2 linked regions of the Mytilus edulis genome follow. The protein of the gene in region 2 purifies or fractionates together with the protein of the main gene of each other region. This does not show direct contact. Links are inferred from orthologs where the notes say so. Each region holds a gene or a part of one and is shown on either strand. Other genes may lie near its edges.

Region 1 (7,456 bases), on a different chromosome or scaffold from region 2:
TCATAATACTAAATAAACATGGAATTTATTAAAAAATTTAAACACAAGAAATTATGCAAATTCCATAATTAAAAATAATTCCAAGTTTAAATAATAGCCTGTTACTAGCAAAAAACCAAATACATTCTAAATAATTCATTTCTTATATCATTTTACAAAAAGCTTCAAACATTTATGTTCATTAATATTCAGTTTCTATATTTATGCATTTTGGAACCTTGTTATCTTTTCAAAAGTATTTGACCTTGATGGTACTCTTGGACCAGTGTCGTTGCATAAGGTCAAAAGCATGTTGGTTAATTCAAGCAACACGTTTACTTAAGGAGCAACTACAAATGTATCAAATTCTAGACCAAAATTAATTTAAAGATATAGATTTTCATCATTGAAATTCACAATTTGCCATTTCAGAATCTATTGAAGGATTAGAGGTATTTTAAATGATCATTGCTTGTTACAAGTAAACAAGTATTTTTTTTTTGTAATGATAATTATATAATAACCATTTAACTAATGTTAAACTTTTGTTCCTTCATGAACCCCCAAAAGCAATAGGAGAGCTATTAAAATAGGAAACTTATATATCTAATCATCTCAAAAATATCAAGGAAACTAATATATTTAATAATCTCAAAAATATTTAGGAAACTAATATATTGAATCATCTCAAAAAATAAATATATCATTTTTCCTCTCAATCATTAAAATCAGAGAAAAATCTAACATATCTAATTCTGCATCAATAAGTTACAATGTAAATAAATAAAAAGGTATATATTGTCTGCAAGCATTATCAAGAAAGTATGCATTATATTTACATTATATTTACATTGTTTACATCTAATGGTCAAATCATTAAAATCAGATCCTTGAAAAAGACTTATTATGAAATATAATCACTTTTGAAAGCTTATCCAAAGTGGATTTACTTATATGAATCACCTTTTTTCTAATTAAATTACAATGTAACTATATAACAATGACAGGAAATACTTATCAATTCATACCATGTGTCGAAAAATTGGCTCTCAGTGGAAAACTTACAGAATTATAATTGGCTTATTCTACTTGAAATGTTAAAGCATTATATGTAATGAAGAATAATTTCATAGCTCAGCTTTAATAAAATTCATATTCTAAAGAATAACATGTAACTATTAAGTAAAATTATAAATTGCCTTTGCGCAGAAAGTTAAATCAATTGTTAACTGTTCTAACTAACTAATTGAATAGAATAATATCCTAACTTGAATTTAAAAAAAACAACTAAAATTACAAAATCGTGAAGAGATTTCATGCTTGGCCTTGAGGTACAAGTCCAAAAATGATCAAAGCATATAAATTGACTATTATCATAACTCAAAATTTACCAACTGAAATAAAGAATTTATTATAATGAGATAAAAATAAGAAAAATTTCAAACATTTACAAATGGCTAAAATTTCTGAGTACATAAAAAAATCTCAAGTTTTTATCAAAATATAATTATTATAATAGTTCTAATTTCTATTTTATTTTCATTGTCAAAAAGAGAATTTAGCTATGGACATGATAAAGAAGCCATACCAAAAGATCGTCTAGATGCTCTTGCGGTCTGTCAATATGTGCCTGTGACACAATGTATCTTATGGTTCCACATAACCCTGATCTGACCCAAATATCATCTGTCTGTCGTATAACTGGAAGCAAACAGTCTTGTTCATCATCAATGTCAAACACATGTTCTGTTTTATCTAAGGTATCACGACTGATTTTAAAACAATTAGCTTCATCCAAATTTGTCCTTGTAAATTTTAAACTAAATGATTCCGGGCTGCAGTATTGAACAACAAACAGAAGGGCTGCAGATGACAGTGGAACTAAAATTGTTTCATCATCTATTGCTTTTCCTTCAAGATATATTATATTAGAAGCCATATTCTATCTAGTACATTGTAATCTTCAGTCAAAATCTGCAATATAAAAGAGAACTTATTACCCATAATACATGAACTCAATCCATTGTTTTAATTATTATATTATCAATACATTTTTATTATTTGTAATAATAATGAAAACTTAAATAAATCTTCCAAATTTTTATGGCTTTTGACCCAAGAAATCTTAACTCTTATGAAAAAAATTTATAAAGGTTCTGAAGAACCCAGTGTTTCCCCTAATTTTGGTGTTAATCGCAGGCTCAACAAAATTCAGGGGGGGGGGGGGGGGGGGGAATTCTAAATATTCCTCGATACTATCTTTTGATAGTAAGAAGCTTCTGTCCAAATTTGGTAAAAATCCAGGATAGTTTATGAATCTAATAAATGTTTAATAAACTTAACTGCAGACTGTATGTAATGTTAACTGGAAGAAAAACCAATTCCGTTTATAAGTAAAATACAGAAAAACAGGAACAAAATTTCAACAAAATTTCAATCTTTATATATACTTTATATATACTAGCTTTTGATCATAAACAAGGTTCTGTCAAAGTTTGGTTGAATTCCAGGATAGTTTAAGAAAGGTATTAAAATTTTAAAAACTTTAACCACAGAGTAAATGTTATGTTTCCTGGCACAAAAACTAAGTCCATTTATATAAGAAAAATAACAAAAAAATCAGGAAATTTTACTTCTGGATTCTATCGTTTGATCATAAACAAGCTTCTGTCCACATTTGATAGAAATCCAGGATAGTTTAAGAAAGTTATTCAAATATCATAAACTTTAACCACAGAGTGAATATTTGTGGACAACGCTGACGACTACAACAATGACGATGGAATGTATGATTGCTTTGTCTCACTTTTTCAAATAAAGGACTACTACTAACATGACTAAATAGAGTTTAATGGCGACTACCCTTGCGGGTATTGCGCCAGATTACCTTATATAAAAACATTTCAAGTAAATGTTTTAGAATTATCATTATTTAGGTATAAGCCTATATTATATATTATCATTATTTAGGTATAAGCCTATATTATATATTCATATAATAAAGGAGATCAGGTATAAATCATCTTATATTGACACTAAGTCTAGTAGATAATTTGAGAGTGAATGCATATAATGTATCTGTAATCCTTAATTCACAATATATATTGTTGTTGTAATTCTGACCAAAGCTTGTTGTAATTACCTGATTACCAATGATGTCAATCAATAGACCACTTTCGAGTTCATCCGTCACCGGAAAAACTCGTGAATTATACGCGCTTTTATCACCGTCATTTGTGCGTTTCGGGGCGTCGTCACTTCCCTTCCAATGTTGAGCGAGTGGTTGGAAAACTATAGTTCTATATTATACGAATTATTCGGCAAATTGAATTCTCAAAATTGACAATCAACACTGCTGTCGTTAGGGAATTGTCAGTAAGTACCTACAGAGCAACCATTATTTCTAGTTTATCCTGCACAAAGACGATCCTTAAGACGCTTGATGAACGTAAATAGTGCAGGGATACAGGCGACCCCCTCTATCTGGTAAATGACGTCATAAAGGCGTGCATAATTGACGAGTTTTTGCCGGTGACGGATGAACTCGAAAGTGGTCTATTGTAACTGATTTTATGCCCTTCATGGGCCCTGTAATTTGACACTCTATAGTCAAATAATACAAAAAAATATACAAATAAAAAATCCAATTCCAAAGCAGCATGCACAGCATAACTGTATAACCTTTCATTTTCAAGATCTTAGACCAAAGATTTGTATATTAACTATACAAATCCTTGCTTAGACTTAGATCAGACTATTTGGTGCCCTATTAGATTTTTTTTATTACATCCGTTATAAGTTATCTAAATATTATGTAGGGATACCATGATGCGAAGATCTTTTGGTTCAAAGTTTTATTATACCTCATGAAATTATACCTTATTTTGTCCGACACAAATCCACGTGCAAATCTTTGTTTATCTTTTAAAAAGGGGAATCCCTGAAAGGGGAGGTAAGAACAAAACACGGGAAACAACTGTGAACTTACTACAAACAGAAACAGGTAAATTTGGCAGTGTGAATATTTATAAACTAACTTTTATTTTCTACAATTGGCGTTGTGTTTTTCTGACCTACTACAGTGCTATGGGTGCATTTTATCGGCACTGGATTGAATTTATTAGAAGCCGTCAACCTGTCGCCAGTGCCCCCTATTCACAAATCTTATTTAGAAACTATCCGCCTGAAAATGAGTTCGGCAGTAAAAGTATCTTTCCCGGTAAAACTTTTGAAACAAAGTCAAGTTTGGTACACTTTTTGTTGATGGTATATACCGGTTTAAGTATTTGAAAAATATTTAACGTAATATCAAAAGTATTGTTTTCTTAAAATTACGGGAAATGAGAGGTTACTTCCGGATGAGCATTAATTCAAAGGATTGTATTTGAGTGATTCGGCTCTCAGTCATTCTGTCGCCATACACAGTACAGTGGAAATTTGTATGCAATTATCTCAACACACTTCCAAATTGATCGATTAATTAATGACCAATAATTAACTGAAGGCGTTAATTGTTGATTGGCTGGACAGCGAACACATCAAAAGGTAGAAATGTAATTATCTTAACGTTTGTGAATGTGTCAACACAGTTTGTCTAGCTCCACACGTTGTCCAAAATAAGAATTACATTTCATTTGTATTGAAATAATAATTTAAACAAACTTTATAGAGTCGTTATATAACATCTAAAAGAGATTCTGTACACTTGTCGGTGTTTCTTGTTCATTAGATGAATGACAAGTTCTTCAGTTTCCAAAAATAAGGGAACTATAGGGCCTGTTTGAGACCTTTGACTTTGTTTATTGTTTGCTTTCTTCTTTACCAGGCCATTTTTCACTTATTGCAATACACACTTTTGATTTGTTTTGTTTAATATGTGATATTCCTTTACAACGAAAAAGCATAAGGTCTGGAACAGTACTGAAAGTGAAAGACAGATGCAGAAGTGTTTGATTTTTTTTTTGGCATACATTTTTTTAGCTGTTAAGTAAAAGAAATATCATCGGCGGATCCATGGGAAAAATTTGGTTGATTATATAGGGAATCATTGAAGCATGACTGGAGCGGTCCCCCCTTAGGAAAATTTCTGGATCCGCCACTGAATATATGGATTTTAGTTGGTATGATGTGTTGACACCTAGAAATATACCTCATGTAATTTCCATAAATGATGTATTTTATATGTCTCTTGTGATCTATGTTAAATATATATGTGATGTGATCTTGTTGAAGAACTACATGTACTTAAAAAACAAAATAACATGTATCGATAAAATTGTAAATAAAAATTTATTTATATAAAAACTGAATAATGCAAAAACACATAATAGACCTTATCCCTGTTTCGGATCTGTAGCACTTGACCCAAGAATCTGCCACAATGGCACCATTTTAGTCACCTAAGTCATATAAGTTTTAACTTGAATATTGCAAAAGCTATAAATGCATACAATAATCATGATAATCATTTACTTAATGTACGTTGTGGTGTCAGACATTTTTATACAACCGCAAAAATTGAAAATTTTTTGGTTGTATATTGGTATCACGTTGGCGTCGTCGTCCGAAGACATTTGGTTTTCACACTCTAACTTTAGTATAAGTAATTAGAAATCTATGAAATTCAAACACAAGGTTTATGACCATAAAAGGAAGGTCAGGGTTGATTTTGGGTGTTTTGGTCCCAACAGTATACGAATTAGGGGCCAACAAGGGCCCAAAAAAGCATTGTTCTTGGTTTTCGCACAATAACTTTAGCATAAGTAAACAGTGAGTGAGAAATCTATGAAATTTTAAAATAAGATTTATGACCACGAAAGTAAGGTTGGAATGATTTTGGGAGTTTAAGTCCCAACAGTTTAGGAATTAGGGGCCAAAAACAGGTCCCAAAATAAGCAATTTTCTTGGTTTTTGCACAAAAACTTTAGTAAAAGTTTATAGAAATCTATGAAATTTTAACACAAAGGTTTATGACAACAAAAGGTAGGTTGGTATTGATTTTGGGAGTTTTGGTCCCAACGAATTAGGGGCAAAAAGGGTCAAAAATTAAACTTTGTTTGATTTCATCTAATATTGAACTATTGGGGTTCTTTGATATACCAAATCTAACCGTGTATTTAGATTCTTAATTTTTGGTCCCGTTTTCAAATTGGTCTACATTAAGGGTCCAAAATTAAACTTAGTTTGATTTTAACAAAAATTGAATTTTTGGGGTTCTTTGATATGCTGAATCTAAACATGTACTTAGTTTTTTTTATAATTATGGTCCCAGTTTTCAAGTTAGTCCAAATCATGGTCCAAAATTAAACTTTGTTTGATTTCAACAAAAATTCAATATGGGGTTCTTCAATATGCTGAATCTAACCATGTAATTAGATTTTTAGCTCACCTGGCCCAAAGGGCCAAGTGAGCTTTTCCCATCACTTGGCGTCCGTCGTCCGTCGTCTGTCGTCCGTCGTCTGGCGTCGTTAACTTTTACAAAAATCTTCTCCTCTGAAACTACTGGGCCAAATTACACCAAACTTGGCCAAAATCATCATTGGGGTATCTAGTTTAAAAAATGTGTCCGGTGACCCGGCCAACCATCCAAGATGGCCGCCATGGCTAAAAATAGAACATAGGGGTAAAATGCAGTTTTTGGCTTATAACTCAAAAACCAAAGCATTTAGAGCAAATCTGACATGGGGTAAACTTGTGTAACAGGTCAAGATCTACCTGCCCTGAAATTTTCAGATGAATCGGATAACCCGTTGTTGGGTTGCTGCCCCTGAATTAGTAATTTTAAGGAAATTTTGCTGTTTTTGGTTATTATCTTGAATATTATTATAGATAGAGATAAACAGTAAACAGCAATAATGTTCAGCAAAGTAAGATTTACAAATAAGTCAACATGACCGAAATGATCAGTTGACCCCTTTAGGAGTTATTGCCCTTTATAGTCAATTTTTAACCATTTTTCGTAAATCTTAATAATCTTTTACAAAAATCTTCTCCTCTGAAACTACTGGGCCAAATTTATCCAAACTTGGCCACAATTATCTTTGGGGTATCTAGTTTAAAAAATGTGTCCGGTGACCCGGCCAACCAACCAAGATGGCCGCCACGGCTAAAAATAGAACATAGGGGTAAAATGCAGTTTTTGGCTTATAACTTAAAAACCAAAGCATTTAGAGCAAATCTGACATTTGGTAAAATTGTTTATCAGGTCAAGATCTATCTACCCTGAAATTTTCAGATGAATCTGACAACCTGTTGTTGGGTTGCTGCCCCTGAATTGGTAATTTTAAGGAAATTTTGCTGTTTTTGGTTATTATCTTGTATATTATTATAGATAGAGATAAACTGTAAACAGCCATTATGTTCAGCAAAGTAAGATTTACAAATAAGTCAACATGACCGAAATGGTCAGTTGACCCCTTTAGGAGTTATTGCCCTTTATAGTCAATTTTTAACCATTTTTCGTAAATTTTAGTAATCT
Region 2 (7,701 bases):
AACAAAGAGCTGATAATACAACTGCAATTTAAATAAAAATTGGACCCGAATAGACTTGGGAGGCGAACATGTGAGGTGCGAACGTGTAGGGTGTGAAAGTGTATTGGGCACGATAGTTCAAACATACAATAGTAAATAAAACCAAAATCTAAAAAACAAAAGACAACCAGTTGCTTCGCAGGGCGCAGCATTATACGACCGCAGATGTACATTGTAGAACCCTGAATAGATGGGACAAGTATGGACACAACTTTTAAGTTTGATACAGCTATAAATGTGGATTGTGATTAAATAGTTGACACAACATAGGTTTATGTCACATTATGAATTTGGTTTAAGAAATTAAAATTAGAATTTAAAATTTTTAAATTGGATATTAAACTATTATGGTAAATATCCAAAATATAGATACATGATTATATTCAGGATATTATAGAATTCTAAAAATTAATTTTTTGATGAAATCAAGTAATGTTTAATTTTAAACTTTGTAGGCCTCAATGTGGACCAATTTTATAAGTGAATCAAATATTTAAAACTGATCAATTCAAATTTCTGATGAAGTTTGCAACAATAACTGCTCATTTAAATACATCATACAATATTAAAATGTAATAAAAAGTGCTTGTTATCACTGAATGGTAAAGATTATTTTAATTTATCAGTTGGTAGTAAAAATGAAAATACATTGTATATTGTATAAAACAATGATTAAAGTTAATTCAACTACTATTCTATACAAAGAACGATAACTCCAATTGAAAATTAATTGCTATTGCACAATATTGTGCAATTAGATATTTCTTGCTATTGTGCAATACTGTGCAATTGAAAATTTCTTGCTATTGCACAATACTTGATATGATAATACTGAATCCTGATTTGGACTTGAACTTGAAAACTGGGCCCATAATCAAAAATCAAAGTACATGTTTAGATAAAGCATATCAAAGAAGCCCAAGAATTTAATTTTTGTTAAAATCAAACTTAGTTTAATTTTGGACCCTTTGGACCTTACGGTAGACCAATTTGACAACTGGACCAAAAATTAAGAATCTACATACACAGTTAGATTTGGCATATCAAAGAACCCCATTTATTCAATGTTTGATGAAATCAAACAAAGTTTAATTTTGGACCCCCATTTGGACCAACTTGAAAACTGGGCCAATAATTAAAAATCTAAGTACATTTTTAGATTCAGCATATCAAAGAAGCCCAAGAATTTAATTTTTGTTAAAATCAAACTTAGTTTAATTTTGGACCCTTTGGACCTTACCTTACGGTAGACCAATTTGACAACTGGACCAAAAATTAAGAATCTACATACACAGTTAGATTTGGCATATCAAAGAACCCCATTTATTCAATGTTTGATGAAATCAAACAAAGTTTAATTTTGGACCCCCATTTGGACCAACTTGAAAACTGGGCCAATAATTAAAAATCTAAGTACATTTTTAGATTCAGCATATCAAAGAACCCAAATGATTCAATTTTTGTTAAAATCAAACTAAGTTTAATTTTGGACCCTTTGGACCTTAATGTAGACCAATTTGAAAACGGGACCAAAAATTAAGAATCTACATACATAGTTAGATTCGGCATATCAAAGAACCCCAATTATTCAATTTTTGATGAAATCAAACAAAGTTCAATTTTGGACCCTTTGGGCCCCTAATTCCTAAACTGTTGGAACCAAAACTCCCAAAATCAAACCTAACCTTCCTTTTATGGTCATAAACCTTGTGTTTAAATTTCATAGATTTCTATTTACTTATACTAAAGATATGGTGCGAAAACCAAAAATAATGCTTATTTGGGCCCCTTTTTGGCCCCTAATTCCTAAACTGTTGTGACCTCAACTTCCAAAATCAATCCCAACCTTCCTTTTGTGGTCATAAACCTTGTGTTTAAATTTCATAGATTTCTATTTACTTATACTAAAGTTATGGTGTGAAAACCAAGAAAATGCTTATTTGGGCCCTTTTTGGCCCCTAATTCCTAAAATGTTGGGACCAAAACTCCCAAAATCAATCCCAACCTTCCTTTAGTGGGTTTAAACCTTGTGTTAAAATTTCATTGATTTCTATTCACTTTTACTAAAGTTAGAGTATGAAAACTAAAAGTATTCGGACGACGACGCCAACGTGATAGCAATATACGACCAAAAAATAAAAATTGTTGCGGTCGTATAAAAACAGAAACCTTATGTTATAATCAGTTTTAGCCATATTATCTTCAATTGGAAAATAATTCTAAATTATTCCTGGGCGAACTTTTTTTTTTTTTTTATCTCAGATCAGGCCTTTTATCTTTGCCCTTATAAGTTATATGGTTGGCTACTGACCCCATACAGATCAAAAGAGGGTAAGTAAAATCCATAGGGGGTGAGGCCGGATGCCGAATCCCCTATGAATTTTATTCACCCTCTATGGATCCGTAGGGGGTCAGTAGTTAACCGTATAACGAATTTATCGGACGCTGGAATTTTTCTAAAAATAAACAATGAAACACAACAATAGCAATAGATTACGTCACCATTAACGCGTCATGAACCCCCTATGAAACTTACTAACCCCCTACAGTCTCATAGGGGGTCACTACATGACGGTGTTTACCCAATCACAACGTGATAATTTATCTGTGGTCCGATTAAATTTATTATCTATGAAATATATTAAATTCATTTGTTTACATCACACATTTCTGATAACAAATGCAGGTAAATATCAATACATGCAGGCTTTATGGTGTGTCCCCTAGAACTTTTTAGCAACACACATTCACAGTTATGTGATGCTTTATCATGTTTATTGCTTGAATCAGATGAATTTGATGAAGTTTAAATTATTTGTTTATAAATATAAAAAGATATCATGAAAATAATATCATTTAACTGCTTCAAATTTTCATTAAGAATATACATTTGAATAATATCTTATCTAAGAATGTATACAGCATATAAATCCTTGCCTTTACTTCATTTCCTTTTTAGGGGGCGTGCTCTTCCTGTGTCAAAGTGTGTATTTGAGTTCAGTATTTTTGACAATTTTTGTGTGTAAATATTGAAGAAACCGCTTATTAAAATAAATTAAAGTAGTATTTTCCTGTAGGCAGTGGCCATTCTAAAAAACTAACATATGAAAAAAAGATCAATTGATATTAATTACCTTGTTCAATGAAAAATAGGGAAAAAGTTGAAATAAACAATGAAAGGAAAAGTATGCGACTGGTCGTCGCCATATCCCCTTTTGTCCTTCACCTTTACACAGTGGTTTCCGCTTCCGGTTTCAAAGTTGTCTGCTTTTCAAAGCACTTCAGAATATAGCAATTTGTGGTAAAAATAATGTGTGACAGCTCCTCATATTTCGGTATTCCGCTATAACGAAATATTATTCGATTCTCTTTAAATAGAACATAACATATCTTAAATATTTTATGTCATTATCAGTTTGGAGACAACCATCCAAAGCCCAAAGGTAAATTTAAGGTGGACAACTTATCCCTCAACTGAGTTATATCATAAATAGTAGCAAGGGTGATTAGGGCTAATAAGTCTATACCCCTAATACTAATAAAAGTCCCCCACATTAACAATATCACAGGCAAAGTCATTCCTAAATTATTTGGTGTGACATCATACATTATGTTATTTTGCTGTACTGTCACACCACTGTCCCAGGTGTGAGGTGAGGGAAGGGTTAGATGTGGGTAGTATATATGGAAGAAGAATAATATCTTATTTTTTCCTTTAGTTTCTTATCGACATTTTATGCAAGAAAAACATTCAAAAGCATATGATTTAAAGCGTATCTTATCACACCAAAAAGGAGCATATGAAGCACCAATTAACCTCTGAAGCAATTGCATCATATTGATTTAATTGAACTAAAATGAACATTTTTATAGACTTGGGTGGATTTAGAACTTAACTATAGTTTAAGGGACCTGCCTATTGTTGAAGACTTCTAAATGTCTTTTAGTTCTTGAGACAACGAAAAAGGAGCTTCACACATATTAATGGCTGTGTATGAAGTTTTAGTTGCATTTTTTCCAGGGATCTACAAATATTGATAAATTCATTTTCAAACTTCATGAATACATGCAATGCCTTGTGGTAATATGCATATCTATTGCTCTTCAATTTTTCTTTTTATCAATTACTTGATAGCTTGGGTATCATGAGTAATTCATAGCTCACTGTTTTACTTTATCAAAATTTCCCACGTTAAAAGATTAAAATACTAAAAAATCACTTCTTAAAGCAATCTTGGTACAACATATTCAAGATGTTATCAACAAAAAGACACTTGAGATCAGAGAAAACTCACAGTTACTGACAGCTAGTTCAAAGCCACTAACAACTAATAAAAAAAAAATCATGCATCTAAGTTGGCATTTTTGGCAAAATCTAGAGTATAGAAAAGCTGTAAACAATAAAAATAAAAGGAAAATGGTAATTAAGTGTAGTTTATATGACCATTATAACTATATGAATTTTAAATTTCAGATCCAAAACATATTTAACTGCCTTTACTGGTTTGTACATGATGATTGTTTGGAAGGGGATGATTGTATAGAACTTTGTTTACATCAACAATATTTGGATAGTGAGTAATTTACACTTACATCCACCTTCACTTAATGCTACAATGATTTATCATGAGGAAAGGATAAACCATTCTCAATGTAAAGCTTACACATTGGAAGTCACCTGAATGCATTATAATATATTTTGTAGGCACTTTATAGTTTATACAATCTTTTATTCAAAATAGGTTTATAGAGTTGTGCATAAGCTCAGCTTCTGTAAACCCTCTACTCAAGGCATTTCATGAGAGAGGTTAATACTTATCAGTTTATTTAATCTTCATCTTTATTAGGAGAGGATAGGTCCCATTTGATAAGTTCAGGATCACTTGCTGCATGAAAGAAAACATTTTGTAGACACCATAACACATGATTTTGGCAGCGACTCTATAATTATATGATGAAAGATCTTTGATTTTGTTTTAAACACCAGTAGTAAATTTTCATTAGATTATGAGATAGGTCTCATTGGGGTCTAAGCGTGACTCGGGATTGCTGATTTTTTGTAAGCGGGACACGTGAAAGTCAAATTATTGTGTCGTTAAAACCGGAAATGAGGTCTAGCAGGACCCGGGAAATGGCAAAAAAATGAGAATTGCTTACGTACATAGTGTTAGCAGGATACGGGAATCTGACAAAACAGTAAGCAGGATCCGGGATCAGAACGCCCCATTGAGACCCCTATGAGCAGATAATAGATTAAGTACTAGTAGGAGTATGAACATTTTCACTTATTTTCCCAACAAAACTAAATTACAGATTCAATCTGAACTGTGCACTGTGGAGTTATGTTCTGTTTATTTTATTTGTCCAAGTTAAGGCTTATATACAATTGTAGATTTTAAAAGGAATCATTATACATATAATTATAATAATTGTTTTTTTGTGTATAAAATTGTTCTGTCTGATATTTTTCATCTGTAAGAAAAGAATTGTTAGATTCAGATAGTTCACTGAAACTTGGAGATTTTTGGGCATGAAACAAAAATAGAAGTAGAATCAGTCTTAAATCCATGATTGCATGATTTTTTTACATTGTCTTTTATTTTGTAGCAATAGCAATGCTTAAGCAAATAGTACAGACAGTCCTGCTTGTGACATCTACAGCAGTGGTAATACCCTACACAACGTCATTGCTTGGAAGTCTACTGTATGGTTGGCCTAATACAAAGAACAAATATCGTAGAGCATTTAGTCCAAAAAAAGTTTATGCTTTTAATTTTGCCGTACTACAAAAGTTATATACTACCTTGAAATATGCATCTTCCTACCTGAAATGGAAGAAACTCTACAACAACCTAGATCCATTTACTGTGAGGAAGGTAAATAAAGAACCTAACTGCCAGATTTGTACCTTCAAATGGCCATTGCCTTGTCTTTCACTGTCAGAAAGGTAAACCTAACTGCCAGATTTGTACCTTCAAATGGGCATTGCTTGTCTTTCACTGTCAGAAAGGTAAAGAACCTAACTGCCAGATTTGTACCTTCAAATGGCCATTGCCTTGTCTTTCACTGTCTTAAAGGTAAACCTAACTGCCAGAATTGTACTTTCAAATGGCCATTGCCTTGTCTTTCACTGTCATAAAGGTAAACCTAACTGCCAGAATTGTACTTTCAAATGGCCATTGCCTTGTCTATCACTGTCAGAAAGGTAAAGAACCTGTGCTTTGTTATTTAATGTCAGAGGGAAGTCAGTGCTTTGTAAATCATTGTAAAAAATATGAGTAGTCAATGTCAATGTAACATTCAGGATTTGTTCTTCACAGTCAGAGAGGCATATAGTGTGCACATTTTGTCTGGCTATGAGGAGTATAAACTTACTTTTTAAAGATAATGTATTGTATTGTATATTTACAAATAAATTCTGTTTTAAAGAACAATTAAACTGCTGGTAAAAGGGACTTATATGTAAGCTTGTTATATTTTAGCTTTTGTTGTTTTATTTTAGAACATACCATATGGGAGAAATGATTGTACGCTAGACTTGTATCATCCTAACATTCCACGAAAGGATGGTGGTGATATGTCAATGCCAGTAGTAGTGTTTGTGTATGGAGGGGCCTGGTCTTCTGGAGAAAAGACCATGTATGGTCCACTTTGTGTAGAGATTGCCAATAGACTAAAAGCAGTAGTGTGTTGTCCTAATTTATCAATTTATCCAAAGGTTGGTTGTTGACTTTAAATTCAAATTCATACATTTTCCTGTACAATTCCTATGTCACAAAACTTATGTATAAATTATTAAGTCATAGTAAGAAATGATTGTTGAATGACAACATTTACTCCAATTGATCTTTGGTCATTCATTGTAACTCTTTCATAAACAACTACAGTTTGGTCTATGTACTATATTTTGTATTTTTTAAACCTTCTTGTGGTTTAAACTGCATTTGAGCAGCTGTTCAAAATGACCTACATGTTAGCTTTTTTTATTATGTTTCAAAACATAATATATGGAAGAAATGACTTGTATCATCCTAACATTCCATGAATATCTTTTTGGATTCAACTATTTTTTGCAGTTAATGTGATCACAAAAGTAAGAGAAAATACCCCTACAATGAAATTTACACATTACATCATTTCCTAAGAAATTGTAATGTGAACACAATGTTAATGATACATGCATACATATTCAACAATAACCAAATAATTTACAGATTGTATTTATACCAGTACATGTACTAAAACATGTACTAAAACTTATTTTAAAATCTTATTTTATTGAGTTTTTATACCGTAGGTTTTTGTAATACAATGGACAAATTATAGAAATACAAGAAGTGAAAAAAGTCTGACCTAGTTTGTACTATATAATATGAGATTGATTCCATTGATAAACAATAATTGTTTTTGTAGGGCTATGTGGATGATATGATACAAGATGTTGTGGACTGTGTGGCATGGGTTTGTGACAATCCACATATACATGGTGGTAATAAGGTATATAATGATAGCAATATGCTTTTTATCAAAGGATGTAAATAGTGTTTGTATCCTTATTGTATTTTATTTATTTGTTCAGAATGCTGACCTGCCCAATTATTGGACTTACAGGAGATCTCCCCAGTTAGAGGTTTTGACCTGACAAATGCAATACTGGGATTT

Evidence for each region.
Region 1: the proteins of bone morphogenetic protein receptor type-1B-like (region 2) and mothers against decapentaplegic homolog 1-like purify together in Drosophila melanogaster (affinity purification with western blotting; 3 studies listed by BioGRID). This does not show direct contact. The link is inferred for Mytilus edulis from reciprocal best matches to the Drosophila melanogaster genes tkv and Mad.

Annotation. Positions count from the first base shown.
Region 1 is NC_092351.1:44,919,846-44,927,301, reverse strand, and holds the start of mothers against decapentaplegic homolog 1-like, read left to right. Parts: upstream 1-4,351; 5' UTR 4,352-4,524; exon of another isoform or gene 4,525-4,532; intron 4,533-7,456. Other genes in the region: glutathione S-transferase C-terminal domain-containing protein-like, read right to left, coding at 1,568-1,918.
Region 2 is NC_092352.1:12,172,208-12,179,908, reverse strand, and holds the start of bone morphogenetic protein receptor type-1B-like, read right to left. Parts: upstream 3,284-7,701; 5' UTR 3,247-3,283; coding exon 3,174-3,246; intron 1-3,173. Other genes in the region: uncharacterized protein, read left to right, coding at 4,426-4,613, 5,647-5,915, 6,542-6,757, 7,453-7,536.